Linked DNA regions of Anolis sagrei. The protein of the gene in region 4 purifies or fractionates together with the protein of the main gene of each other region. This does not show direct contact. Links are inferred from orthologs where the notes say so. Each region holds a gene or a part of one and is shown on either strand. Other genes may lie near its edges.

Evidence for each region. The genes of interacting proteins can lie anywhere in the genome.
Region 1: the proteins of CDC37 (region 4) and ARAF purify together in Homo sapiens (affinity purification with mass spectrometry; 7 studies listed by BioGRID and IntAct, with this or other methods). This does not show direct contact. The link is inferred for Anolis sagrei from reciprocal best matches to the Homo sapiens genes CDC37 and ARAF.
Region 2: the proteins of CDC37 (region 4) and FER purify together in Homo sapiens (affinity purification with mass spectrometry; 3 studies listed by BioGRID and IntAct, with this or other methods). This does not show direct contact. The link is inferred for Anolis sagrei from reciprocal best matches to the Homo sapiens genes CDC37 and FER.
Region 3: the proteins of CDC37 (region 4) and CHUK purify together in Homo sapiens (affinity purification with mass spectrometry; 7 studies listed by BioGRID and IntAct, with this or other methods). This does not show direct contact. The link is inferred for Anolis sagrei from reciprocal best matches to the Homo sapiens genes CDC37 and CHUK.

What each region holds. Positions count from the first base shown.
Region 1 is NC_090022.1:192,681,013-192,688,204, forward strand, and holds the start of ARAF (serine/threonine-protein kinase A-Raf), read left to right. Parts: upstream 1-4,178; 5' UTR 4,179-4,242; intron 4,243-7,192. UniProt on the Homo sapiens protein: Involved in the transduction of mitogenic signals from the cell membrane to the nucleus. May also regulate the TOR signaling cascade. Phosphorylates PFKFB2.
Region 2 is NC_090022.1:246,895,383-246,902,387, reverse strand, and holds the start of FER (tyrosine-protein kinase Fer), read left to right. Parts: upstream 1-3,991; 5' UTR 3,992-4,116; intron 4,117-7,005. UniProt on the Homo sapiens protein: Tyrosine-protein kinase that acts downstream of cell surface receptors for growth factors and plays a role in the regulation of the actin cytoskeleton, microtubule assembly, lamellipodia formation, cell adhesion, cell migration and chemotaxis.
Region 3 is NC_090023.1:141,576,834-141,584,828, forward strand, and holds the start of CHUK (inhibitor of nuclear factor kappa-B kinase subunit alpha), read left to right. Parts: upstream 1-4,981; 5' UTR 4,982-5,059; coding exon 5,060-5,185; intron 5,186-6,082; coding exon 6,083-6,177; intron 6,178-7,995. Other genes in the region: ERICH6B (glutamate-rich protein 6B), read left to right, coding at 1,350-1,577.
Region 4 is NC_090022.1:161,784,110-161,792,057, forward strand, and holds the start of CDC37 (hsp90 co-chaperone Cdc37), read left to right. Parts: upstream 1-4,944; 5' UTR 4,945-5,001; coding exon 5,002-5,103; intron 5,104-7,948. UniProt on the Homo sapiens protein: Co-chaperone that binds to numerous kinases and promotes their interaction with the Hsp90 complex, resulting in stabilization and promotion of their activity. Inhibits HSP90AA1 ATPase activity.

The sequences.
Region 1 (7,192 bases), about 31 Mb from region 4:
GCTCAGATCAGCCTCTAGGAGGGGCTGTCTCTTCTGGGCGGCATGGGGTCTGGTCCTGCTCTCTGTGGGATCCTCCTGTGCCATCTGGGTTCCACACAGGAAAGTCCACAGACCTCCCATTGTTCACCTCACCCAGGTAGTTGTCCTCAGCGGCAGGAGTGGATTATGGGTCCCACAGTTCGATCTGGGCCTCTTCACTGTGCAGAGGGGACCCCTGGACCTCGACGCCCCCCCTCATATTTAAGGCAGTTAATGGGATAATTTAGACATACACATACATGCGCTCAGGGAAAGGGGAGGGAGGAAGGGCCAGGAAGGAAAAAAGCATCCGAGGGACTGCGTGTGTGAGAGAGAGAGACTTAACCATAGATGTGGGTGAAATGTCAGGAGGGAATGCTTCTGGAACATCCCTTCCTTAGGTTTTTGGAGAAGGAGGTAAGAGGGAGCAGCAGGATTTCTCTGGGGGATAGAGGAAAAAAAAATTCACAGAATGCTGGCTTCTTAGAAGATGGGAGGGGAGGGAGAAGAGAGAGAGAGAGAGAGAGAAACCCAGCAAACTTTACTTGGCAAAGGGAAACAGGAGCAGGAAAAAGGTCCCCCCCCCCCTACACCTCCCTTTGTTTGCAAGAGGAGAGAGGGAGGAGGGGTTTGAAAGCAAAAAGGGGGAGTTGGAGAGTGAAGGGAAAAACAAAGGAAAGGCAGGGACATTGGTGACTGCCCCTGAAAGATGGGTTTTGTAGTTGCACAGAAGAGAAGGGGAGAGGGAGAGAGCTCTTGGTTCAGGGAAACCAGGCGAGAGAGAGAGACTTTTGCAAGGCAGCTGAGTCACATCAGTGGCAGGGTCTCTCCTGGTGAGGGGAAACACTGTTTATTATAAATAAACAGGCACTGAAGATTCAGCTTTTGAAAGAAAGGGATGTAGTAGCTTGGTGAAGGAGGGAATGAGCGATGCCTCCCTTTTCCATCTGAAGGAAGGAAAAAAGGTGGCACAGGAGGAAGCAGGAGAGGAGGAGAGCAAAGAATTTCCCTGATCATTTCCTCAAGGAGCAGTGAAGAAAAAAAAAACAAACAAACAGAGGGGCATATAAATGCATCATAAATAGGGAATAGGGAAATGGAGGGGTTGGGAAGGGAAGGAAGGAGTCAGGGAGATTGGGTAAAGGGAAATGGGAATGGGATGGTAGGGGAACAAGCAATTTCTTCCAAAGGGAGAGGGTGAAGGGGTCTGGAGGGGGTTTCCTGGGGGGGTTGGGGCTTTGTTACCTTCCCCTTGCATGGTAGGAGTTGGCCACAACTACCCCCCCCCCTTCCACCTCCCTCCGGCACATGGCAAAAAGCATGAGGCAGAGGCGGTTTCGGTCCTCTTGGCCCCCTCACAGCGATCCGACTGCCATGAGGGGCCACGAAACTCCACCTGCTGAGGGCCTGGAGGGCCACCTCTCCATGCGATTTTTACCCTACTGGCCTGCGTCGGCGACGCAACCCTGCCCCATTCCGCCAGTATCTTCCAAAAGATGTTTCTGATGAAGCAGGACGTTTGACCCTGGAATAACATGCGCCCAATCTCTCCTGGTAGCCCCACACTGAAGTGGTTAATCAGGGTAGCCCCCCCAACCGCAAGGCAGGCTAGAGCCCGAACGGTTCCCTAGCAGAAGAGCCCGGGGCGATCAGCCCTTGGCAGCTAGGCAGTCCGAAAGGGGAGGGCTCCCTTTCCAGCGTAGCTCCAGCCAAGTCCGCAAAAGCGAGCTGAGTTGCTATTCCAGGCCTCAAACGTGGATGTTCGCTACCCCCCGCCAGGAATTTGTTACCGAGACCTAGAGAATCCCTCCCCAGTGGGCCGACTCCGAAGCTGGTTCAGAAAACCTAGAATCCCCTCCCACCTGGCAGCCAAGGCAGCCCGCGGTTGATTTCTTACCCGTCCGGACGTTTTCTTCCCCCCTTTCCGCGTCGGTCGTTCCTCTTCCTGGAAGTCCTTAGATCAAGGCTTCCCTGGCGCTCCTTTGTGCTGAAACCCTAGGTCAGAGCTTGGGAGGAAGTGGCTGCGGGAGAATTTGTAGTTTTGGTTAGCTGGTCAAATGAAAGTCCGAATTGGGAGAGGCGCCTCTTTTCCCAAGCCGTTCCTCCTTTGCTGCTGGCCCAAAGAATCAGACCAAGGCGCCTGCTTGAGAATTTAGGCTATAATTTAGTCTGGAACCTCAAGCAGCAGTCCCTTCGTGGTAAAGCCAAATGATATCGAGCTCCTTTTGGGGGGCTTTCCCAGCGAGGAAGGCCCCAGAAGACCGCAAAGGGGGTCTTTGACCTTGGCGAGCGGCCAGCGGATGCCAATTCAAGAAGACGCAAAGTTACTGAAGATCAATCTCGCCAGAGGCTGAAGAGGAGTCTACGACCGAGGCGTTTATTTTGCGATTCAGCTGAAAAGGATGCGTTACAGGGATGAATCCTCCATAAGGCATACAGTACAGTGAATTTCAGGCATATTTATACAGGCAGAACAAAGAAATCCTGGTTTGAATCTCCCGCCCGCCTCCTGTCAGTCCCCTCTGTCCTGGTTGGCCGGCTCCGGAACAGCTGGGAGGAGGCTTGGCCGCTGGTCCCGCCTTCCCTCCAATCGCCGGCCGCTGTCGCCTCCAGAGGGCCAATCAGAGCCCTCGGAGCGCCTCCGGAGATTGTCCAATCAGCGGCCAGGAGGCGGGCTTTCAGTCTGATAGCGCAGAGGGGCGGAACGCCTGGGAGGCGTCTGCCAGCTGATGGAACACCTTTTGTCTCTTCACGGCAGGGAGGCGGATGGGGAGAACAAGGGATTTCCTGGGTCTTGATAAAAGATGTGTATGAGCAAAAAGGGTGGCTATGGATGGTGTCTGGATCTCAACCCTGTAGGCAAAGGAGATCCTTTGACACAAGGGAGCATACACAAACACCATGATTGATTTAATCAGTCGGTTTTTCCGGGCTTTTGGCTGACAAAATCTCTGGCTTTTGTTTGTCTGACTCTGAGAACAAAGCCATAGATTTGCCAGTATTTGTCCATGCATTGTCAATATGGATGGAGTTTCTTCCAAGGAAATTGGATTTCCTTAACTGTAATCCCCAGGTCACATATTCTTTTATAGGGTAAAGTTCAAGAGGGGGAAGGCAAGGAAAGGGGTGAGGGTACATCTCATTTCATTTCATCTCATTACATATCATATACTTCATATATATATTCTTCACAGTCTTTCATAACTCATAGATTTCATAGAAAAGATCCCCATCCCAGTAAAGTTTATTAGAAAACCCACAGCAATTAATAAAGGCAATCAGCAGAGTTCCTGAGGTATGATCCTTTGCAACAAGGGCATGCACCCACGGGCGGGGGCCATGCTTCCCAAGCGGCTTGGCTTTTGAGTCCGTGGAGGAAGTTCATGATGATAGGGCATCAAGTCAATCAGTGAGGGCAGAAAGGTCCGCAAGGAATCCGCAAATGGTGGAGAGTGGGGCAATGTCCTTTGGAGAACTACATTTCCCTGATCAGGGGCCAGGGTCCAGTGCACAAGCCAGAGAATTCACAGAAGGGAAACAGGAACCCAGTTATGTGTGCTGGGTCAGGAAGCAGCAGAATCCATTGTCCGGCCCTTGGCGAACTACAAATACTTGGGGGGGGGGGTAGATGCTCTGCATCAATTCCACCTTAAATGGGTCACTTTGGGAGCCATTGCTGCCCAAGACTGTTGCCATCATGTATCATGGAGGAGCCGCAGGATGTTTACATATTTGTTTGGCAACTGATACAGGGAGAGATCTAATCTAGTCCTGACTAAAATCTATCAGCAAATAGGGAAAGGAAAATAATGGATTGCAGACTGGAAAAACTCAATATAGGCATTCCAATCCAATCCCCAAAAGTGGACACCAGGGATTGCAGTAACCATAATATATTTGCAAGTGAAGTGGAGCTTAAAGTTTTTTGCAAAACTGCATGCATTCCAGGTTGTTGCTAACAGATCTGTGTAAATGGGTGGCGTTCAGAAACCTTTGACTGTTGCCAATTTTTTTCGTGGCCCCAACATTGAGCTGAAAGGGACTCCATTTGAATGTCCAGTTGATTCTTTGTAAATGAGAGCTGAATAATTGTGTTTGGGAATTAAAGGGTTAATCCCTTCCTCTCCCCTAAAAGCGCCCCGCCCCCTTATTGTGACGTCAACGCCCGGCGCCCCGCCCCCTTTCGAACGCTCGCACAAGATGGTGGCTGTCTCTGGGCGAGAGGTAGGAAGTCTCCCTTTCCTTGGCTTTTCCCACATTCCGATGGTCTCGTTCGGCCCCTCCTCCCCTTCCCGGACTGACCCCCCTATTTTCCTGCTCTCTTGGTATCTTCCTGCCCGGCTCCTCAGCCACTTCAATGCGCTTTTCGGGCTTGGGAACCCACACCTTCTTTTTAAAGGGGGGGGGGGGCGTTTAGAGTCGCTTCCAGACGTCATTCCGGACTGGGAATGCGGTCAGACTGGCCCGGATTTCGCCCGCGGCTCTGGTTTAAGTTGCAGGAGGGGAGAGGCGTGGACTTCTCCTCCTCTTCCTCCTCCTCCTTCCCGAATTGAGACCCCTATCCCCAGGCAAAGGCATAGACTGCACCTCCCATCATCCCCAACCTTTGTCTCTCCAGCTGTATTGGGCTTCATCTCCCTGGAAGGTTGCATCTACACTGTAGAATGAATCCAGTGTGACACCGCTTTCACTGCTGAATGCAGTGGGAGTTATAGTTTTATTGCAATATTGGACACTTCTCTGTCAAACTACAACTCCCAGTGTTCTGCATCACCCAGTCCTGATAGTTCCAAGGGAGGCCAAACTGCGTTAAATCTGTAGTGTAGATGCTCAGGGATTGCCGGACTGCAGTTCCCATCAGCCCCAGCCAACTTGTCCTATAGTGAAGGATGATAGGGGGCTGCTTTGGTCACACGTAGAATTAATGCAGTTTGATATCACTTGAACTGCCCAGGCTCAAGGCAATGGCATCCTGGGCATTGTAGTTTTACAAGGTCTCCCTGTTAAAGAGCTCTGGGGCCTTCACAAGCTACAAATCCCAGGATTCCATAGCATGGGGGTGTGGCAGTTAAAGTGGGATCAAACTGCATTAATTTTACACCTGAAGAAGCATCCTTATGTCTTTAGATCAGTCTCTGTTGATCATTCTTAGTCACTCTATAGATACATTTATTTGTGTCTTATTTATTAATTGATGAATGCTATTACCTTATATCAAGATACACTATATAAATAAAATTGTAATCTTCATTCATAGGATTAACATAACTCAAAAACCACTGGATGATTTGACACCAAATTTGGACACAATACACATTTGAGGCCAACAAGTGACCATCACTCATAAAAACATTGAAAAACACAGCCAAAAAACAAAATATACAATACAATGCATGTGCATAACAACATATATATATATACGCAAACACACATCTACACAAATATATATACACATACACACACACACAACACATATACACAGAGTGGGCCACAGCAGTACGTGGCAGGGGGCGGCTAGTAAATAATAAAATGCTTCAATAAATAAATAATAAATAAATATTTACAGTGTACCTTAGATCAAGGAGCCCCCCAGTGGCGCAGTGGGTTAAATCACTGAGCTGTTGAACTTGCAGATTGAAAGGTCGCAGGTTCGAATCCAAGGAGTGGGGTGGGCTCCCACCTGTCAGCTCCAGCTTCTGCCAACTGAGCAGTTCGAAAACATGCAAGTGTGACTAAATCAATAGGTACTGCTCCCGTGAGAAGGTAATGGCGCGCTATACAGTCATGCCGGCCACATGACCTTGGAGGTGTCTAAGGACAACGTCGGCTTTTCAGATTAGAAATAGAGATGAGCACCAACCCCCTGAGACAGACACGACTGGACTTAATGTCAGGGGAAAACCTTTACCTTTGCCTTATATCATGGGATTACAAGGCCGTTTACAATAAAAATGAATAATATTTGAGCAGACTACTGCAATGGGCTCTGTGTGGGGCTGCCCTTGAAGTACACTCAGAAACTGCAGAGTGTAGGAACTTGATTGCTGACTAGAAGGCCATATCGACAGCACGTCATGCCAATCTTAAACAAATAGCACTGGCTGCCAAAATACAAATTTCCAATCTGGATTCAAAGTGGTCGCGATGACTTGTAAAGTCCCAAATAGCTTCTCAGTGTCCCATAAATAAGATTAATATGCAGTGTTCAGATATGGGATGGGGTCTTCTGAGTCGTGGCACCCCAAATGTGGAATGCTCTCCCTGATAGAGGCCAGCACTTATTTCATTTAGGCACCCATAAGTCCTCATTGGCTCCGTCTACACTGTAGAATTCATGCAGTTTGGCACCACTTGAACTGCGTTGGCTCAGTGCTATGGAATGGAGTCCCCGGTGGCGCAATGGGTTAAACCCTTGTGCCGGCAGGACTGAAGACCGACAGGTTGCAGGTTTAAATCCGGGAAGAGCGCAGATGAGCTCCCTCTGTCAGCTCCGGCTTCCCACAAAGGATGACAAAACATCAAAACAATCTGGTGTCCCCTGGGCAATGTCCTTGCAGACGACCAATTCTCTCACACCAGAAGCAACTTGCAGTTTCTCAAGTCGCTCCTGACACAAAAAAAAAAGTGCTGTGGAATCACAGGAGCTGTAATACATTTTTAAATATACTTAATTTATATTCCACCCTAGGGAACTCAGAGCAGATTACAGCATATATAGGCAAACATTCAATGCCTTTACAGTCATATACAGTGAGACACACAAACAGGCAGAGGCTTCTTTCATTTCCGGCTTCTGGAGCCACTGCTTATCTCTGGCACTGAGGAGGTGCTTTCTCTATTTTCAAGACAAGGAAATTTTTTTGAAGCATCTCTTTGACTTTTCCTGCCAATTCTCACATTTGCATGTTTTCGAACTGCTAGGTTAGCAGGAACTGGAGCTGACAGAAGGGAGCTCACCCCGAATTGCGGATTTGAACTGGCAACCTTCAGGTCAGCAGTTCAACAACACAAGGGTTTAACCCAGGGGTCCTCAAACTTTTTAAACAGGGGGCCAGGTCACAGTCCCTCAAACTGTTGGAGGGCCAGATTATAATTTGGAAAAATAAATGAATTCCTATGCACACTGCACATATCTTATTTGTAGTGCAAAAAACACTTTAAAACAATAGAATAA
Region 2 (7,005 bases), about 85 Mb from region 4:
TTACTTTGTTGTCAGTTGGTTACAATCATTTTGCATTGTCTAAAATAATCACTCCACATGCCTACGTCATCACCAACCCAATAGAACCCAATAGGGAGGCATGAGATATGGAAGAAGGACAGCAGCTTGAGGTGAGGCATGGGAAGGAGAAGAAGGGGACATGGTAAATTTTATTACACCCAAGTCTACCAAAATCATAGAACTTTTCGGACACTCAGTTGTGCCACTTCTGCCTCACAGGCAGCAAGGATGGACAGAAAGGAGGTCAAGTATTCCCTGACACAACTAATGTATGTTCATCTCTTGTCTCTCAGTAAATTGTTGCATTCTCTGCTTTAACCACATTTTTTACATCACTCCTTACCAACATTTGTGAGCATTATTTTCCCTAGTCTTAGATTTGTGGACCTGGGGGTGGCTTTAGTTAACAATAACAAAATAAAATCCTGATAGGTTAGAAAGTTTTGAACCATAATTCCAAAAAACCATTGCACAGTCTGGACACACACTTCAAAGCAAAATGATTACCATATTTACTCAAATCTTAATATCTTAAAAGGTCGGTGGTTCAAATCCGGGAATTGGGGTGAGCTCCTATCTGTCAGTTCCAGCTTCTCATGTGGGGACATGAGGGAAGCCTCCCACAGGATGGTAAAACATCTGGGCGTTCCCTGAGCAAGGCCCTTGCAGACGGTCAATTCTTGGAATGTATCCCCTTTAAGAAAGCAGTGTAAGTATGCCTGTGTATTGAAAATGATCCAAACATCCAGCTAAATACATATTATTTAGAACCCTTTTAAAAGGGTTCTAAATAAAAGATTAAGCTTCATATCAAATACCTGAATGCTGCAACCTTGTGTGCTCCTGATTATAAATGCAGCTAAGTTATTCCTTATATCAGAGCTTTCCAAATGGGTCCAAGTATAAAAATCACAGGTAAACAATGCTTTTTAAAATCTGGTCCTCATTCTTCTCCCACTCTAACTTCTCCAGCAGCAAGAAGTGTACACTGAGGCCCTTTTCACTCAGCTGAATAAAATCCCACATTTTCAGCTTTGAACTGGAATATATGGCATATAAATGGACTCGGATAGCACAGTTCAAAGGAGATATTCTGGATTATATGGCTGTGTGGAAGGGCCCTGAAATTATTGCTCCCGATGTCTCTGTTTAATGATGGAGAGGCTGTGGCAACAGAGGTACCTTAAAGTATTTTTGGCTAGATTAGATACCCGAATGAAATTCTGAAAGGAGGTTGTGTAGGTATATGCTAATGGAACCAATAAAAAAACAAGTGGTATAGTGCTTTATTTCTATTATCTACGTTTCAGGGTGAAAATGCAAACTTGCACCAAAAGGAAGCAATATTCTTTTAGAGAAGAGCTTTCTAAACTCTGGGCCCTTCCATACAGCCATATAACCCAGAATATCAAGGCTGAAGATCCCATGTTATTTGAGTGTGGACTCAGATAACCCAGTTCAAAGCAGATATTCTGGTCTATAGGGTTATGTGGAAGGGCCCTCTGTGTCACGATATGTTTATGTTGGCTGCAGCCTGTAGGTTGTGTGTCACATGAGCGAAACGAGAAAGATTTGCATCTATGTGAAATAAGCAAAAAAAAAAAAAACCCAAACCCCCCATATATATATGTGTGTGTGTGTGTGTGTGTGTGTGAGAGAGAGAGAGAGAGAGAGAGAGCTTTTTATGAAATATGTTGTATCTCTTAGGCCCCTTCCACACAGCTGAATAAAATCCCACATTATCTGCTTTGAACTGGAATATATGGCAGTGTGGACTCAGATAAACCAGTTCCAGGCAGATATTGTGGGACTTTCTGCCTTGAAATTTTGGGATATAGGGCTGTGTGGAAGGGCCCTGAGTCCACACTGCCATATAGTCCAGTTCAAAGCAGATAATGTGGAATTTTATTCAGCTGTGTAGAAGGGGCCTAAAAGTGTGTCAGCAACATGTAAGTAATCTTTGGAAAGCTCTGCCTTATATACTTGTAGGGCTGCATCAGGCCCGTAGCCAGGATTTTGATTCGGGGGGGGGGGGGGGGCTGAGTTTGATTCGGGGAGGGGGGGCTGAGTCTGAGTGAAAGAGGGTCTACCCTAGCAAACCTTTTGTATCATTACCCCAATACCCCCATGCATATGGGATATGTATTGTCGAAGGCTTTCATGGCTGGAATCACTAAGTTCTTGTGGGTTATTTCGGGCTATATGGCCATGTTCTAGAGGCATTTCTCCTGACGTTTCACCTGCATCTATGGCAAGCATCCTCAGAGGTGAGGTCTGTTGGAACTGGGAAAAAGAGTTTATATATCTGTGGAATGACCAGAGTGAGACAAAGGACTTTTTTCAGTTGGGCTAGGTGTGAATATTTCAACTGACCAACTTGATTAGCATACAATGGGCTGTGTCTGGAGCAAACTCTTCTTGAAAGGTAATTAGATGTCCCTCCCTGTTTCCTCTCTGCTGTTTTTGCTGTTGCAATTTTAGAATTTTTTAATACTGGTAGCCAGATTTTGTTCATTTTCATTGTTTCTTTCTTTCTGTTGAAATTGTCCACATGCTTGTGGATTTCAATGGCTTCTCTGTGTAGTCTGACATGGTGGTTGTGAGAGTGGTCCAGCATTTTTGTGTTCTCAAATAAAATGCTGTGTCCAGGTTGGTTCATCAGGTGCTCTGCTATGGCTGACTTCTCTGGTTGAAGTAGTCTGCAGTGCCTTTCATGTTCCTTGATTCATGTTTGGGCGCTGCGTTTGGTGGTCCCTATGTAGACTTGTCCACAGCTGCATGGAATACGGTAGACTCCTGCAGAAGCGAGAGGATCCCTCTTGTCCTTTGCTGAACGTAGCATTTGTTGGATTTTCTTGGTGGGTCTGTAGATTGTTTGTATGTTGTGTTTTCTCATCAGCTTCCCTATGCGGTCAGTGGACAATTGGAGCCCCCGATAGGGCAGTAGGTTAAACCCCTGTGCCGGCAGGACTGAAGACCGACAGGTCGCAGGTTCGAATCCGGGGAGAGGCGGATGAGCTCCCTCTATCAGTTCCAGCTCCTCATGTGGGGACATGAGAGAAACCTCCCACAAGGATGACAAAAACATCAAATCATCAGGGCATCCCCTGGGCAACGTCCTTGCGGATGGCCAATTCTCTCACACCAGGAGCGACTTGCAGTTTCTCAAGTTGCTCCTGACACGACAAAAAAAAAAAGTGGACAATTTCAACAGAAAGGAGGAAACCATGAAAATGAACAAAATCTGGCAAACAGTATTTAGAAAACCTCTCAAATTCCAACAGCAAAACAACAGAGAGGAAACAATCAGGGACAGCTAATCACCTCTCAACAAAAGATTCCCCTAAGCACTAACAAGCCACACCAAAAAACTGCCAGGCCGTCAAATGCTAATCAAGGTGGTCAGTTGAAAAATCCATAGCTAGCTCCAACAGACAAGAGTTCTTTGTCCCACCCTGGTCATTCCAGATATAAAAACCCAAATTTCCTAGTTCCAACAGACCTCACAACCTCTGAGGATGCTTGCCATAGATGCAGGCGAAACGTCAGGAGAGAATGCCTCTAGAACATGGCCATATAGCCCGAAAAAACCCACAAGAACCCAATATATTATTGACTTGATAGTAATGGATAAAATAACTGTATTCTGTTTTTAATGAGCGTGTCTCTTTAAAAATCGAGAGGGGTCCAGTTCCTACGTCACGTCCGGCGCCAGGCAGCCTTAAACCCAAGCCGGAGTCTCCAAGTCTTCCCCCGCTTCCCTTTCCCGGCTGGGATGCAAACCCAACTCGGCCTCCTCAATGAAAGGAAGTCTACGCCCTCCCCATTCCCTTGCGGGAGACAAACAGCCAATCACCGCCTGGGTCAGCCGACGAAGGGCGGGAACGACGCCTGTCTCCTCCTCAACGATTGGCGAGCCGAGAAGTTGACGCGCATCGGGGGCGGGGCCAACGCGGATTGGCCGCTGCTGGCGAGAGAGTCCCGGTGCCGATTGGCCGCACGATAAAAGGGGAGCGCGAGCGGATAGGCCGCGGCGGCCTCACGTGACCTAGGCGGGGCCGGGCGTATTGTGGTGGAGGGGCTCGAGCTTGTCAGGTAGGTGGGCACCGCCTTTGGGGCTTTTGAGGGTGGCAACTTGGGACCTCCGGCCGGGCGAGGGGCCTTCCGGTGGCTGGAGAGGGACTGGGGCTTCTTTGGGGTCTTCGACTGTGTAGGCCCCGGGGTAGGGCGGCGTTCGAAGGCGAGAGAGAGAGTGAGGGAGGAAGGAAGCGAAGGTTTTGTTCCTCTCAGGCTGGGAAGGCTTTGCTTCAACTCCTGTGTGGGAAAGTGACGAGGCTGGGAAGGACTGGGGTTGAGGAAGGCGTGCCTAAGTTTAGGGTGCGTCTACGCCAGGCATGGGCAAACTGCGGCCTTCCAGGAGTTTTGGACTTCAACTCCCACCATTCCGAACAGCCTCAGGCCCTTTCCTTCCCCCCCTCAGCCGCTTTATTTATTTATTTATTTACTTCATTTGTATACCGCTCTCTCAGCCCGTAGGTGACTCAGAGCGGTTTACAACCAAATCAGTATACAAAGTGCACAACATTAGCATTTAAAACAGTAATCATGGCAACTACATCAATATAACAATACATCAATACATCAGTATAATATTAATACATCCATATAACTAATCCATCACGTCTCATCAGTAAAGTCATAATCCGACCTCCTTGTCCATTATTCCATGTTCCAATAATCAATTAATTGCACTGCTTAATTAAACGCCTGTTCAAAGAGCCAGGTCTTCACTCTTCTCCTGAATGCCAGTAGGGAGGGGGCCAATCTAGTGTCTACGGGAAGGGCGTTCCACAGCCTAGGGGCCACCACTGAGAAGGCCCTGTCTCTCGTCCCCGCCAGCCGTGCTTGTGAGGCTGGCGGGATCGAGAGCAGGGCCTCCCCAGACGATCTTAATGTCCTAACTGGTTCATAGGGGGTGATGCGTTCGGACAGATAGGTCGGGCCAGAACCGTTTAGGGCTTTAAAGGCTAAAGCCAGCACTTTGAATTGTGCCCGGTAGCAGATTGGCAGCCAGTGAAGCTGGCGCAACAGAGGAGTGGTGTGCTCCCTGAGTGCCGCTCCTGTTAACAGCCTGGCTGCCGATCGTTGGACCATTTGTAGCTTCCGAGCAGTCTTCAGAGGCAACCTCACGTAGAGAGCGTTGCAGTAGTCTATACGGGATGTAACCAGTGCGTGGACTACCGTGGCCAAGTCAGATTTCCCAAATTACGGGTGCAGCTGGCGCACAAGTTTTAATTGTGCGAATGCTCCCCTGGTCACCGCCGAAACCTGGGGTTCCAGGCTCAGTGATGAGTCCAAGATCACACCCAAGCTGCTGAGGGGGGAAAGGAAGGGGCCTGAGGCTGTTCGGAATGGTGGGAGTTGAAGTCCAAAACTCCTGGAAGGCCACAATTTGCATTTGCCTGCTGTAACCCAAACCTAGTATTGGTGGCCTGACACACACTCTGCTGCTACTATTCGTCCAAGCTTAGAACAGTGTTTCTAAACCTTCCTAATGCCACGACCCCTGAATAGAGTTCTTCATGTTGTGTTGGCCCCCAACCATAACATTATGTCCATTGTTACTTCACAATTGTAATTTTGGTACTGTTATGAATAGTCAATATTTGATACACAAGACGACTAAAATGATCAAGGGTCTGGAGAACAAGCCATATGAGGAGCGGCTTAAGGAGCTGGGCATGTTTAGCCTGAAGAAGAGAAGGCTGAGAGGAGACATGCTTTTTTAATGTTTAACTGCAACCCAGCTTTTGCACTTTCTTCTTTCACCTTGATTAGAAGGCTCTTCAGCTCCTCCTTGCTTTCAGCCATCAAAGTGGTATCATCTGCATACCTAAGGTTGTTAACTGTTTCTTCCAACAATTTTTACATGATAGCCATGTACAAATATGTGAGAGGAAGCCACAGGGAGGAGGGAGTAAGCTTGTTTTCTGCTTCCCTGGAGACTAGGACGCGAAACAATGGCTTCAAACTACAAGAAAGGAGATTCCATCTAAACATTAGGAAGAACTCCCTGACTGTGAGAGCCATTCAGCAGTGGAACTCTCTGCCCTGGAGTCTGTGGAAGCTTTTAAACAGAGGCTGGATGGCCATCTGTCACGGGTGCTTTGAATGCAATATTCCTGCTTCTTGGCAGGGGGTTGGACTGGATGGCCCATGAGGTCTCTTCCAACTCTATGATTCTATGATTCTACGTATTTTCATTCACTGGACCAAATTCGGCACAAATACCCAATACGCTCAAATTTGGGCAAAAGTATGGTAGCTGGGACCCAATGCCGAGACAGCGCAGCGAGTGAGAGATGCAGATGCGACAGAGTCGTGGCAAGGTAGTTCGCCAGAAAAAAGGAGGGGGGGCAACAAACAGCCAAGCATAGTGCTTAAGAGCCGTCGCAAACTCTGTTCCTGTGGGAGCAAACCTTGCTAGCACGTCCCTGACGTCATCAGCCTGCACCTCTCTCCCCGCCCCTTTCTCCGCCCCTTTCTCTTTGCCAGTGTGGTTTTTCCTTTGCTAGGGCAGCATTGCCCGCATTTTCTCTCAGTTGAATTCTGCCAACTGAGAGAGTATGCTGGCAATGCTGCCCTAGCAAAGGAAAAACCACTCTCGCAAGGAGAAAGAGGCGGAGAAAGGGGCGGGGCGAGAGGCGGAGTCTCATGACGTCAGGGACGTGCTAGCAAGGTTTGCTCCCGCAGGAACAGAGTTTGCGACGGGTCTTAGAGCCGTAGCAAACTACTGGAAGAGAGAGCGAGCTTGTGCTCGAGCTCGCTCCGAAGCCCCGCCTTTTCCCCCCCGAGCTGCTCTCTCTCTTGCTAGTGTGCCTGTTTTCCCTTGCTAGGGAAGCGATGCGAGTGTACTCTGGCAGTTGGCAGAATTCAACTGTGAGCGTACGCTCGCATCCCTGCCCTCTGCAATGGAAAACAGGC
Region 3 (7,995 bases), on a different chromosome or scaffold from region 4:
CACGCCCCCACCCTCCGCCGCCCCGTCCCTACACGCCCATACACCATCCTTCCCTCCTCCCCCTCCCCTGCCCCCTCTGAGACAGCCATGTCCCCACCCTCCGCCACCCCGCCCCTACCCGCCCATACGCCATCCTTCTCTCCTCCCCCTCCTCCTCCCCCGCCCCCTCCGAGACAGCCACGTCCCCACCCTCTGCCGCCCCGCCCCTACCCGCCCATACGCCATCCTTCCCTCCTCCCCCTCCTCCTCCCCTGCCCACGCCCCCACCGAGACAGCCACGTCCCCACCCTCCGCTGCCCCGGCCCTACCCGCCCATACGTCATCCTTCCCTCCTCCCCCTCCTCCTCCGCCGGTCACGCCCCTTCCCAGGAAACTACGCCCCTCCAATCCCTGCCCTGTCCCTTCCCGCCCTGACCCAATCCATCCCTCCTCCCCATCCATCTCCACCGCCGCCATCTTCTCCAAGGGGAGGGAAGAAAGGTAGGAAAGAAAGAAGAAAGAGAGAGTAGGAGCATGGGAAACAAGGGAGAAAGGAAGGAAGGAAGAAGAAAGGAGCGGAAGGGAAGGTGTAGGAACGAAGGAAGAAAGGACGGAAGAAAAGGCAAGGGAGGAAAGAAAGCAAATGAAGAAGAGAAAGGGAGGGAAGGAAAGAAAGAAAGAAAAGGAAGTATGGAACTACAGAGCGAAGGAAGGAAGGAAAGAGAAAGAAGAAAGGAGACAAAGAGGAAGGAAAAAAGGGAGGAGGAAGGAAAGAGGTACAGAAGGAAGGAGGAGAGAAGGAAAGAAAAAAGGGAAGCGAGGAAAGACGCAGCAAAGGAAAAAGAGAAAGAAGGAGAGAAAGACGCAGGGAAGAAAAGAAATAAGGAGAAGGAAGGATGAAAGCAAACAGCTAAGGAAGGAAGTAACCAGGTAGAGAAGGAAGAAAGGAAAGAAGAAAACGGAATGAAGGAAGGAGTGAAAGAAGCAGAGAAAGAGGGAGAGAAGGCTGGCCACAGCAACGCGTGGCAGGAAAAGCTAGTAGTCTATGAAGAAAAACATAAACTACATTTGGGGACTCTGATCACTCACACACATATTTCTATATCTTTGAAGGAAAAATACACATGTATAATGAACATTCCTTCAGCTTTTCATCAGTATGTACCAAATTGCATCTATCTCTGGCCACAGTTCTGGATTCTGCATTTCATTATTATAATATCTGAGCTCATATATCAATCCAGGAGTGTTTCCAGATTGTTAATATATAATATATGAAGCAGAATTTCTATATGTGAAAATTTTAGTGAAAATGATTAACTTGGTTAAAATAATGATGAAACATTAACACTTGTCTGTGACTTTTGCAGTTGAAAGATCCAAACATGCTTCCATTACTTAAACATCGTGAAACTGTGAGAGAACGAAGCAAGATTCTGAAGATCAGAGAGCTCTTAACAAACTGCCAGAAAATACTGAAAACACTGCACACTGTTCCACCTGAAGAAATTGATGACCTGTGTCAAGTCGTAACAGAACTGCGTGGCCTAGCCCACCAGCGACATAAAAAGACGGTTAGATTTAAACAAAAAAAATGAGGCACAAATCTGTTGAATAAAGAAAAGAAAAAGTCTCCTTTGGTGTGCAGCCTTTCAAGTAAACAAACTTGATGACTGCTCTGTATTCCACTGGGTCCATTATCAAACCTCACATCATTTCAGCACCTGTCAAATCAAGATTTTTCTCAGTTCCGAGTTGTAAATTGGCACGTAACCTATAGAGACTGATATCATTACACATGTGCAGTTTCAGCATCCTGTGATAAATAGAAGTGGGTCAGAGGAAATCTTTAATGCATGCTCATATCAGAATAATTAATATTCATTTATTTATTTATTATTTATTTCGAGGTTTTATATACCGACCCTCTCACCTTCAAAGAGGGATTCGGACCGGTTCACAACATGTGTTAACATACAAAGAATATACAATAACAACACAATGCCACTTCATTACACGGTTAAAATATCAGCACTATACATGTTAAAACATTATCATCACAGTTAAAAGAGCCAAATCATCCGACACCATCACAATACCATTCATCATCCTCCTTTCATGTGGGCAAAGAATTAAATCAGTTGTCAAATGCCGCGTTCCACAACCAGGTCTTTGTTAGTTTCCTAAACGTCATGAGGGAGGGGGCAGTTCTGATCTCTAATGGCAGGGAGTTCCAGAGTCGAGGGGCCACCATCGAGAAGGCCCTGTCCCTCGTCCCCACCAGCCGTGCCTGTGAAGGTGGAGGGACTGAGAGCAGGGCCCCTCCAGATGATCTTAGTGGTCTTGATGGTTCGTAGGGGAGAATACATTTGGAGAGTATTCAGTATGAATATATGTCCCATGGGTGGTGGATGCATGTAGAGAGGTATAAAAATATATGCTGAATTGTTTAACTGATTTATTGTATTTATTTATTGTGTGAGAGAGACTGGATGCTAAAATGCTTTTTAAAATCTATGGGCCCCTCTTCTTTCCTTGTTCTTTCCCCCCAAGGTGGAATACAAGATCGGTAGCACACTATAAAAAAGTTGGCACCTAATAACGTTCATGTATATGATTATCTGCGTATTTGTTCTAGTAGTATTCTCTCCTGATTTTTCACCTGCATCTGTGGCAGGCATTCTCCAAAGGTTTGCTCAAAGGTCTGTGGAAATGAGGCATGTGGGGTGTACATATATCTGTGTAATGTCCAGGGTGGGAGAAAGAACTCTTGTCGTTTGAGCCAAGTATGAATGTTGCAATTGTCCACCTTGATTAGCATCGAAACGCCTTGCAGCTGTAATCTTGATTAGCAATTGGGTAGCCTTGCAGCTGAAAAGCCTGGCTATTGTTGCCTGGGAGCATTCTTTGTTTGGGAGGTGTTAACTGGCACTTGATTGTTGGCTGGCTGAAATTCCCGTTTCTGAGTGTTGTTCTTTATTTGCTGACTTGATTCTGGTATTTAGGAATACCAGTAGCCAGATTTTGTTCATTTTTATGTTTTTCTCCTTTCAGTTGAAATTGTCCACATACTTGTGGATTTCAATGGCTTCTCTGTATAGTCTGATTATGGTGGTTGTCAGAGTGGTCCAACATTTCTGTGTTTTCACATAATATTCTGTGCCCAGCTTGGTTTATCATGTGTTCTGCTATGATTGATTTCTCTTACTGAAGTAGTCTGCAGTGCCTTTCATGTTCCTTGATTCGTGTTTGGGCAATGCTGCATTTGGTGGTCCCTCTGTAGACATGTCCACAGCTGCATGGTATCCGGTAGACTCCTGCAGAGGTGAGAGGATCCCTTTTGTCCTTTACTGAACATAGCTTTTGTTGGATTTTCTTGGAAGGGCCTATAGATTGATTGGAAGTTATGTTTCTTCATTAATTTCCCTATGCAGTCAGTGGTTCCCTTGATGTATGGTAAGAATATTTTTATATTTTTCCTAGGTGGACTTTATTCTCAAGCTGGTGCCCCCCCCCCCCCAGAACTTTTCCCCCAGGGAGATTAGAGTAACACCCACCCTGTCCACCTTCCGAAAATACCCGAAAACTTTGATGTTGCAATGTGCCTTTGACTAACCGGTTCATCTATTGACTAGGCCCCTCTAGCTCTAACTTATTGTCCGGCTTTGTAGCACTTTATTACTCGCCCCTACAGCTCTGTTGCATTAGCCCTTGCTAGTGCCCTCCTAGATCTGAACACGCCCATTCTTCTCAGCTACTGCTTGATGGTTATTGATGTTCTTATGTTTTCATGATGTTTGTTGTTAGGTTTCATTGTTTTAATTATTTACATTTATTTATCATATCAGAAGTGAACCGAGGGTACAGTTGTAATGTATTTAAAAACACAAACAAAATTTAATTATTGAAATTCAATGTATTTTAATTGTGCTATATCTTAACTTCTGTTTTTGCTGGGCCTGGTCCCCATGGAAGCCACCTAGAATCCCTTTGGGGAGATGGTGGCGGGATATAAGAATAAAATTATTATTATTATTATTATTATTTGCTAATCAAGGTATCCAATTGCAACAGTCACACTTGCTTCAAAAAAACAACAAGTGTTCTTTCTCCCACCCTGGACATTCCTCAGCAGAGGCGGCCCTAGGTAATTTTCAACGGTAAGCAAACAGTATTTTGGTGCCCCCCCCCCCCACCAACCAATCATTGATATATATTTTCTGTTCGTCATGGGAGTTCTGTGTGCCATATATGGTTCAATTCCATCATTGGTGGAGTTCAGAATGCTCTTTAATTTTAGGTGAACTATACATCCCAGTAACTTGCATTTGTCAAGGTCTATTTTCCCCAAGAGCGCCTCAAGAGTGCCCCTGGGCAAAATCAACTATACTGCAAATGCTTACTTTGCGTGATGGGTTGAGCCGCCCCTGTTCCTCAGATATATAAAGCTCACTTGCCTAGTTTCCAACAGACCTCACAACTGGGTTGTCGTAGGTTATTTCGGGCTATATGGCCATGTTCTTGAAGCATTCTCTCCTGACGTTTCGCTTGCATCTATGGCAAGCATCCTCAGAGGTTGTGAGGTCGTAACCTCTGAGGATGCTTGCCATAGATGCAGGCGAAACGTCAGGAGAGAGTGCTTCTAGAACATAGCTATATAGCTCGAAATAACCTACAACAACCCAGTGACTCTAGACATGAAAGCCTTCGACAATACACAGACCTCACAGGATGCCTGCTACAGATGTGGGCGAAGAGTCAGGAGACAGTGCTGCTGGAACATGGCCAGACAGCCTGGAAAACTCGCAGCAACCTAATGCTTCCGGCCTATCTTGTTCCTGTCTTAAGGGTTGCTTGTATATTCTCCAGCCATTCCCACCTGCCTTCCAGAATCAAGAAACTCAATACCGATTGCGCAAGGGCTGTCTACCTTCTCTCCCTCTCTCTGCGCGCATCTCCCGGAAGGGGAAGAGCCCACACCCTGAGGCCACTTCCGCTCCCGTCCCAGGTCTCGCGAGAGCTGGCTGGCTGGCTGCCCTGGGGATCCGCGGCTGGCCCAGGCAGGCGGGCGGGGGGGCGGATGGAGGGTCTGCCGGCGGGGCCGGGGCGCGGGGGCCCTCCGGGAATGGCGGCCTGCGAGCCCTGGGAGGTGCGGGAGCGGCTCGGCACCGGCGGCTTCGGCAACGTCTCCCTCTACCAGCACCGGGTGGGTCGCCGGGGTCGCAAACTTGGCGGGGGTTTCGCCCTTGGGTTGTGGTCATTGGAGGACGGGGCTCCTCAGCCTTTGACTGACTTGAGGGCCCTGCTCCTGGCTTGTGCCATGAGTGCTGGGTTTGGTGGGGAAGGAGGGAGGAAAAAGGAAAGAAAGGACACATTCCAGCTTGACAATATCTCTCTTCTGGGCACCACAATTGAAGGGAGATGTTGACAAGCTGGAATATGTTGAGAATAGGGCGACTAAAATGATTAAGGGTCTGGAGAACAAGCCCTATGAGGAGCGGCTGAAAGAGCTGAGCATGTCTAGCCTGAAGGCCGAGAGGAGACATTATAGCCATGTATAAAGGTGTGAGAGGAAGTCATAGGGAGGAGGGAGCAAGCGAGACTAGGATGCGGAACAATGGCTTCAAACTACAAGAAAGGAAATTCCACCTGAGCACTAGGAAGAACTTCCTGACTGTGAGAGCTGTTCACCAGTGGAACTCTCTGCCCCGCAGTGTGGTGGAGACCTCCTTTGGAAGCTTTTAAACAGAGGCTGGATGGCCATCTGTTGGGGGTGCTTTGAATGCAGTTTTCCTGCTTCTTGGCAGGGGGTTGGACTGGATGGCCCATGAGGTCTCTTCCAACTCTATGATTCTAAGGGAAGGCGGTGCAGCGATGGCAAAGGGGAAGCAGAAGACGGTAAATGCTTCTTCTCTGGGTTGATGAGGCCGTGGACAGGGATGTCACCCTGGCAGAGAGTGAGTACTTCATCACACTAGAGAACGAATCCACTTTAAATCCAGTTTCTGCCTCCTGCAGAATTCTGGGGTTTGTGGTTCAGGGAGGCTGTTAAAGGCAGTGATTTTTGTGGTGATCTGTTTTAATTCTTTCTTCTGCAAGACAGGATTTAGGTACAAAGTTAGCAATCAAGTCTTGTCGTCTGGAACTAAGTGTGAAAAACAAAGATCGGTGGTGCCATGAAATCCAGATCATGAAGAAGTAAGTTCTCACTTTGTTTTTCCAACACATTTTTGTTTATGTCTATGTGGCTGGCATGCCCTTTTATTAGTCCCAACTACATGCTGATGGTGGTGGTGATAATGCTGATAATGAGACTCATTATCAGCCATTCAGTCAGTTGTTGAATGATGAGCCGATGCATTGGTAAATCGAATTAATTCAGTGAATCAACTAATCAGCACAAGTGGGGGGGGGGGGGCTATTTAGACAGATACCAATTGTACAAGTTTGATTTCATTTAGAAATGTGTTAACCAAAATGGAACAATATTATACAATTTTGAAAAATACTTCTATATATACACCTTACTTCTATATACACCATCTGAATAAATTACAATATACATATTTTAAAATAAATTTTCTTAAGATGTTTCAAGAACATTGCCCCCCAAATATATATATATATATTATACGCACACATATACACACACACACTAAAATATAATAAAGGGGAAATGTAAGAGCTGTTTTTAAAATTGCTTCCAGCACAATGAAGTGCATTTTATTTTTTTCTTGAAGTTTTTAATCAAACTGTTTTCTGTGTTAGTAGAAAACCAATATCGCTGGAGGTGAAAACAAAAGTCTGTTTAGGTATACAGTAGATCTCCGTATTTGTTGCTTCAAAAAGTATACATGTATGTACTGAAATGGAATAATATATGAGGTATATATAATATATAACTTGTATATATAATATATACAAGTTCATAAATACTTTTAAGAACCATTACTCAACTCATAACTTCTGTCATAAGAATTGGCTGGTACAGAAACATTGGGTGAAAAAAGTGATAGTTACGTAAAGGGTGCACTTTACACCATCACTCTCACCTTGGATTCACATTGTACAGGTGCACTTGTGCCTGCATGATTTGCAGAGAGGATGTGGCGAAGGCAGAAGACTGTTTGCACTGTTTTTGGCACAACTATAAGAATGCCTTGTCATGTAAATGCATGTCACGCTGTTGACATACTGTTGTTCACGGCCAGCCCCATGAGTGACCTCTAGTCACCCTTTTATGAATTCAAGTCTTACAGATTGATAGTGTTTCATGATCTACACAATCAGAAATTTTGCTATAATTTGGAAAGCAGATGCTGAAATTCTTTGGTGTATGCCATTATCTAACATGTTTACAATGTGATCCCTGATGCCTCTGTTCAGGGGAGCCTTTTCTAGGCAAGAACATTCCAGAAAATCTTCACATTTATCTGTGGTCCACATATCTGACACTCAGTCCTCTTTACCAACAGGCCAGAGGCTCCATCATGTGATGAGACAGCATATTCAACTATTCTAACCATCAGGAAATTCCTCCATATTTAGGTGGAATTTCAATTCCCCTCCAATTTCAATCCATTGCTCTATGCCGTAGTCTCTAGAGCAGTTGAAAACGAGCTTGATCTCTCCCAGTATGGACATCCTTTCAAAAATGCTAACGTTCTGATCTTGTCCTCTGAAGTATTAGGTATCCATCCTAATTTGGTTGGAAGACAAACTTTGCCAAGAACATCAGGTCCAACAAGTTTCTCACTTGCCTTGCAGACAGCGTCATGGTCCAAAAGGTGGAAGAAGCAACAAGGGAATCAGTTATTTTAGATTTGATCCTAACCAACAGTGATGACAGGGTAAATGGGATAGAGATAGTGGATTCCTTAAGTGGGAGTAACCATGTTCTTCTAGAGTTTGTTATACAGCAGAAAGGGGGAATGAAGCATGGTTAACATGCATTCTAGACTTTAAGAAAGCTGACTTCAGTAAACTGTAGAAGAAAACCAAGTGCAAGTCCATGGT
Region 4 (7,948 bases):
ACCCAGAGAGCACTGTGGACTCAAACAATGATGGATCAGGACCAAATTTGGCACGAGTACTCAATATGCCCAAATGTGAACACTGATGGAGTTTGGGGAAGATAGACCTTGACATTTGGGAGTTGTACTTGCTGGGATTTATAGTTCACCTACAATCAAAGAGCATTCTGAACTCCACTAACAACAGATTTGGGGCAAACTTCCCACACAGAACCCCCATGACCATCAGAAAATACTTAAGGCCATCCAGTCCAACACCCTTCACCAGGGCAAGAATACGTAATCAAATCCCTCCTGACAAAGAGCCATCCAACCATAGATATAGATAGATATATATCATTCACACAGAGATATAGTATCATAGATTTGAAAGGGACCCCCAAAGAAGAACAATTTGCATGTTGCATGTTCCAGAGTAGGCAAACCATACCATCTCCATATCAACACTGACAAAGAAACAAGAAATACTGTTTACCCACAAGCAGAAAGAAATTACATATATTAGAAACCAACACTGTCTCATTACTTTATTTTCCAGATCACCAGACTGGGCCACAGCAATGCGTGGCAGGGGACGGCTAGTTAGAAATATATTTCATAGGCATTGCAATTCTCCTGTGACAATGGAGTAAGACTAGTGTAGCAGTGTTTATTATTATTAGTAGAAGTAATTGTAATTGTTGATATAATGTAATTTTGTTCCATTAAGTTTACAATCCATTTTGTATTACTAATGTAGTCTCTACCATGAAGAAAAATCCCACATGATTACTATATATGGTAACCCTGGAGTTCATTAGTCTTTAATAGTGGAGCCTTCCCATGAAGGGAATATGTGGCATTAACTTCAAACAGCTGATTTGGAGTGTCCTGAAAACAACTGTTTAGTTTACTTGTAGAGTGTTTTCAACAGGGACATTTTCTGCTTCAGATGCCAAAATAACACGGCTTGCTTTGGTGTGGGAGGTAGACAGGAATTTCCTCCTCTTCCCCTGACAGCTAATGACTTGGGACAACCCTGTTCCTTACAGAAACAACAAGTCCTTATATTTCAGTCTTTTATCTTTGGCCATTGCGGTTGTCTAGCTTGTGCATCTGGAACTGCATGGGTAACAAATCTATATAAATAAAAATGTAATGTTTGTTTGTGGGATTAACATAATTCAAAAACCACTGGATGAATTAACACCAAATTTGGACACAATACACCTATCAGGCCAGCGAGTAACCATCACTCACAAGAACACTGAAAAACACAGTGGGAGGGATTTAAAAAGTCAACCCCCCCCCCCAAAAGATACTACAGTGCATGTGCAAAAACATCTACCCCGGCAAACAAAACACACAATAGCATATCCACACTCTCTTCCGGACTACAGATCCCAGCATCCCCTATACCAGGCCCTTTAGGAGAGGAGGACAATCCAAATGAACTGCTTCCAAGATGCAAGTTTTCTTCTCCTTAGATTTCCTGCATACAGGGGCGGCTCAACCCATTACGCAAAGTAAGCATTTGCAATATAGTTGATTTTGCCAAGGGGCGCTCTTGAGGCGCTCTTGGGGGAAAATAGACCTTGACGTTTGCGAGTTGTAGTTACTGGGATGTATAGTCCACCTACAATCAAAGAGCATTCTGAACTCCACCAATGATGGAATTGAACCATATTGCCATATTGCACACAGAACTCCCAGGATGAACAGAAAGTATATATCAGTGATTGGTTGGGGAGGGGGGGGGGGGGGGCAAAATACTGTTTGCTTACCATTGAAAATGACCTAGGGCCGACTCTGCCTGCATATTTCCAATTTTCTTTTCCTGGACTGCAACTCCCAGCATTTCTCCAGATAAATGGATTAGATAGAGATAGATAGTTTGGTAGATAGATTTACCTAGCTCCAGCAGACTTTTGTCTGCTGGAGCTAGGTGTGAATGTTTCAACTGACCACCTTGATTTGCATATAATCAACCCAGTGATTCCGGCCATGAAAGCCTTCGAAAAAGAAAGATTTTCCTGAGTTATGTTGTGTCCCCATACATATTGGTATTATTGCAATGTGTGTAAATATCTGTGTGTCTTATAAGAGGCCAGTTTAACGTCTGGTTTATTCTTAAAACTGAATTAATGTGTCGCTCAATGATACATGTCTAAAAACTGTTTTGCCAGCATGAAATGGTTGGAAAGCTCTGCCCTAAACCAACAGGGGAGTGATATTCATCCTCTAAAGGGCAGGATGGCCTGATAGGTAATTTCTTGACAGAATCCTATGCTGCTGAGGTGAGAAAACATTATAATAATACAGTCAACCCCCCATCTACAAATTCTGCATCCATGGATTCTACCATCCACATCTTCAATATATATAAAAAGATCCAAAATGCAAAACTTAAATTTTGTCGAAGGGATTCCATTTTACTATGCAATGGATGTAAGGATGCGTAGATTTTGGTATCCACAGTGGATCCTGGAACCACTGCATTCAGAGTGCTGATCACCACTGGGACCACCTTTACTGGCTTGTACCAGTTTTGCAGTTTGATCTTTAAATCCTCATACCATGTCAGCTTTTCCAGTTGCTTCTCATCAATTCTGCTGTTGCCTGGGATTACAACACTGATGATCCATACTTTGCTTTTTTCCCCATGATCATGAGGTCAGGAACCAAACAGCAAAGAAAAGAATGAAAGAAAGAGGTAAAGAAGAAGAAAGAAACAGTATTCCTTGTTTTTTCTATGTCAATGTTGATGTGGAGATTGTCTGGTTTGCCTACTCTGGAACATGCGACATATCATTGTCCTTCTTTAGGGGTCCCTTTCAAATCTATGATATTATATCGCTCACTGTGTGTGAATTATATATATCTATCTATATGACTGGATGGCTCTTTATCAGGAGGGCTTTGATTACGTTTTCTTGCCCTGGTGAAGGGAGTTGGACTGGATGGCCTTAAGTATTTTCTGTCGGTCATGGGGGTTCTGTGTGGGAAGTTTGCCCCAAATCTGTCATTGGTGGGGTTCAGGATGCTCTTTGATTGTAGGTGAACTATAAATCCAGGAACTACAACTCCCAATTGTCAAGATTCTATTTTCCCCAAACTCCACCAGTGTTCACATTTGGGCATATTGAGTATTCGTGTAGTTTGGTCCAGATCCATCATTGTTTGAGTCCACAGTGATCTCTGGATGTAGGTGAACTACAACTATAAAAACAAAGGACACTGCCCACCAAACCCTTCCAGTATTTTCTGTTGGTCATGGGAGCCCTGTGTGCTAAATTTGGTTCAATTCCATCATTAGTGAAGTTCAGAAAGCTCTTTATTGTAGGTGAACTATAAATCCCAGCAACTACAACTCCCAAATGACAAAATCATTTTTTTTAGTGAAGGACATACATTGGGTTATTAGGTGTTTTGTGTCCAAATTTGTTGTCAATTCGTTCGTTTTTGAGTTCTGTTAATCCCACAAACGAACATTACATTTTTATTTCTATAGATTTTAAAATTAACGGTCTGGACTAGATGCTATGAGCCATGACAGTTTAAAGTGGGGTCGAGCTGCATTATTTCTACTGTAGACTGGAGCTACACTGCTATATAAATTGCATGCATATAGATCCAGCCAAAAGAGCAAAGGGAAATGTATTGTCGAAGGCTTTCATGGCTGGAATCACTAGGTTCTTGTAGGTTTTTTCGGGCTATAGGGCCATGTTCTAGAGGCATTTCTCCTGACGTTTCGCCTGAATCTATGGCAAGCATCCTTAGAGGTAGTGAGGTCTGTTCTGAGAATCTGTGAACCCCACCTCCTCCAAGATGAACTGAACCACCTCAACTGGGCTCTCCAGGCCAATGGATACTCCACCTCAGACATCAGAAGAGCTGCAAGACCAAGAACAAGCCACGAGAGTAAAGATGAAGATCCACCCAGAGGAAAAGTGTTCCTGCCATACATCAAGGGAACCACTGACCGCACAGGGAAGCTGATGAGGAAACACAACATACAAACAATCTACAAACCCACCAAGAAAATCCAACAAATGCTACGTTCAGCAAAGAACAAGAGGGATCCTCTCTCCTCTGCAGGAGTCTACCGTATACCATGCAGCTGTGGACAAGTCTACATAGGGACCACCAAACGCAGCATTGCCCAGACACGCATCAAGGAACATGAAAGGCACTGCAGACTCCTTCAACCAGAGAAATCAGCCATAGCAGAGCACCTGATGAACCAGCCTGGACACAGCATTTTATTTGCGAGCACGGAAATGCTGGACCACTCCAACAACCACCATGTCAGACTACACAGAGAAGCCATTGAAATCCACAAGCATGTGGACAATTTCAACTGAAAGGAAGAGACCATGAAAATGAACAAAATCTGGCTACCAGTATTAAAAAACTCTAAAATTACAACAGCAAAACAGCAAAGAGGAAACACCTCTCAACAGGGGAATTTTCCCAGGCTCAGCCAGGCCTTCAAATGCTAATGAAGGTGGTCAGCTGAAACATTCACACCTAGCTCCAGCAGAGAAGAGCTCTTTGCCCCACCCCAGCCATTCCACAGATATATAAACCCATTTTCCTATTTCCAATAGACCTCACTACCTCTGAGTATGCTTGCCATAGATGCAGGCGAAACGTCAGGAGAAATGCCTCTAGAACATGATCATATAGCCCGAAAAAACCCACAAAACCTTAAAAAACATTCACATTCAATTAGAACCCCCCTCCCCCAAAATTACATTTTTATTTATATAGATCTCTATATTTACTGGAAGGAAAAAACCCGAAAAAACCTACAAGAACCTAGCAAAGGGAAAATTCCACAGAGTGGGTCCCAGAAGTCAAGGCGGCGCATCACTCTATTTTATCGTAGCTCTGTTGTTTCCCAGTGAGCGTCACAGAGACGAGCAGGAGGGAAGAAAGGGGCGGCGGCGCTAAGTTTGGCGGAAATGACGCACGAGGCATAGCGGAAGTCCGAGGAGGGGCCGCACTAGCCGCAGCGCCATGGTGGATTACAGCGTGTGGGATCACATCGAGGTGTCCGACGATGAGGACGAGACTCACCCCAATATCGACACGCCCAGCCTCTTCCGATGGCGACACCAGGTGAGGGAAAGGCGCCCCGCGAGAGAAAGGGCCTCGCTTTCGGAGCCCCGCAGAGAACTCTCTGGGCTAGGCCTGCTCAGGCTGCGGCCCTCTCCTTGCTTAGGCCTCCAGCTCCCAGGATTCCTGGCCATTGAACAAACTGGCGAGGGCCTGTAGAAGTTAGAGGCCCAGAGATCTGGAGGGCCGCCCTTTGAGGAGGCCTGCATGGCCCATTACTCCACCCTCATGAACATACTTGGGTGTGGTTGTTTTTAATCTATCTATCTATCTATCTATCTATATAAATACTCCATAAAAACAAAAGAACCAATGAACGAAATCACACCAAATTTGGCAACAAAATGTCTCACAACACAAGGAGTGACCATCACTCAAAAAGTTATGATTTAGCCATTTGGGAGTTGTAGTTGCTGGGATTTATAGCTCAACTACAATCAAAGAGCATTCTGAACTCCATCAACGATGGAATTGAACCAAACTTGGCACACAGAATCATAGAATCAAAGAGTTGGAAGAGACCTCATGGGCCATCCAGTCCAACCCCCTGCCAAGAAGCAGGAATATTGCATTCAAAGCACCCCTGACAGATGGCCATCCAGCCTCTGTTTAAAAGCTTCCAAAGAAGGAGCCTCCACCACACTCCGGGGCAGAGAGTTCCACTGCTGAACGGCTCTCACAGTCAGGAAGTTCTTCCTAATGTTCAGATGGAATCTCCTCTCTTGTAGTTTGAAGCCATTGTTCCGCGTCCTAGTCTCCAGGGAAGCAGAAAACAAGCTTGCTCCCTCCTCCCTGTGGCTTCCTCTCACATATTTATACATGGAACTCCCATGACGAACAGAAAATACTGGAAGGGTTGGGCGGGCACTAACCTTGTGTTTTGGAGTTATAGTTAGTTTACCTACATCCAAAGAGCACTGTGGACTCAAAAATGAAGGATCTTGACAAAATTTGGCACAAGTACTGCATATCCACAAGTATGAACACAGATGGAGTTTGGGGGAAATAGACCTTGGCAATTTGGAGTTGTTTATTTATTTATTTATTTATTTCGTGTACTTATACCCCGCCCTTCTCACCCCCGAGGGGGGACTCAGGGCGGCTTACAAAAGGCACATCTTGGTGCCTACACAAATACAATAATATATAAAACCAGCAATTAAATGGTCAACAATTAAAACAATTAAAAACAACAATATATCACACAATCAATAGCCAATCTCAGACACAGCGTTCGCCAACTCAGAATTCATGTTTCGCTCTACCTTGTCCAGTTCCTATCTATCGTCACAGTCCCTTATTCATCTGCCAGATTGCCCAAACGCCTGGTCCCACATCCACGTCTTTAATTTCTTTCTGAATGAAAGGAGGGATGTTGCTGATCTGATCTCCCCGGGGAGTGAATTCCATAGGTGAGGGGCCACCACTGAGAAGGCCCTGCTCCTCGTCCCCGCCAATCTCACTTGTGAAAGAGGCGGGGTCGAGAGCAGGGCCTCCCCAGAGGATCTCAAACTCCGAGATGGTACGTAAATGGAGATGCGTTCGGACAGATACGCTGGGCCGGAATCATATAGGGTTGTCAGGATTTATAGTTCACCTACAATCAAAGAGCATTCTGAACCCCACCAACGATAGAATTGGACAAAACCTTCCACACAGAACCACAACAGCAACTCTGATGACCCTTGCGACACCCCCTCATGACCTCCCTCCGGCATCCCGACCCCCAGAATAAGAAATGCTGCATTAAGGCCATCCAGTCCACCTCCCTTCACCGGGGCAAGAAAACATAACCAAAGCCCTCCTGACAAAGAGACATCCAGCCATAGATATAGATAGTTATGTATGATTCACACAGACACAGATATATGTATATGACAGATATAGTGCCATAGATTTGAAAGGGAGCCCTAAAGAAGGACAATTATATGTTCCAACGTAGGCAAACCAGACAATCGCTACATCAACACTGACAAAGAAACAACAAGAAATACTGTTTACCCACAAGCATAAAGACATTACAGATATATTAGAAACCAGCACTTTCTCGTTACTTTATTTTCTAAATCACTAGGCTGGACCACAGCAACACATGGCAGGTGATGACTAGTAATAATAATAATAATCTTTATTTGTACCCCGGCACCATCTCCCCAAAGGGGACACGGGGCGGCTAACATGAGGCCAAGCCCAAAAATACAATACAGCAAAATAAAATACAAAACAACAGAAAAATTACATCATAACAAAATGCATAAAATAACAAGATGAAATAAACAGTGCAAAATCTATATAAATAAAAATGTTATGTTCGTTTGTGGGATTAACATAACTCAAAAACCACTGGACAAATTGCCGCCAAATTTGGCCACAAGACGCCTACTAACCCAAGAACTGATCATCACTAAAAAAAAAATTGATTTTGTCATTTGGGAGTTGTAGTTGCTGGGATTTATAGGTCACCTACAATCAAATAGCATTTTGAACTCCACCAATGATGGAATTGGGCCAAACCTAGCACACAGGACTCCCATGACGAACAGAAAACACTAGAAGGGTTTGGTGGGCATTGACCTTGAGTTTGGGAGTTGTAGTTCACCTACATCCAGGGAGCACTGTGGACTCAAACAATGATGGATCTGGACCAAGCTTGGCACAAATGTTCCATATGCCCAAATATGAACACAGATAAAGTTTGTGGAAAATAGACTTTGGCAATTGGGAGTTGTAGTTACTAGGATTTATAGTTCACCTACAATCAAGGAGCATTCTGAACCCCACCAACGATGGAATCGGGGCAAACTTTCCACACAGAACCCCCATGACCAACAGAAAATACCATCCAGTC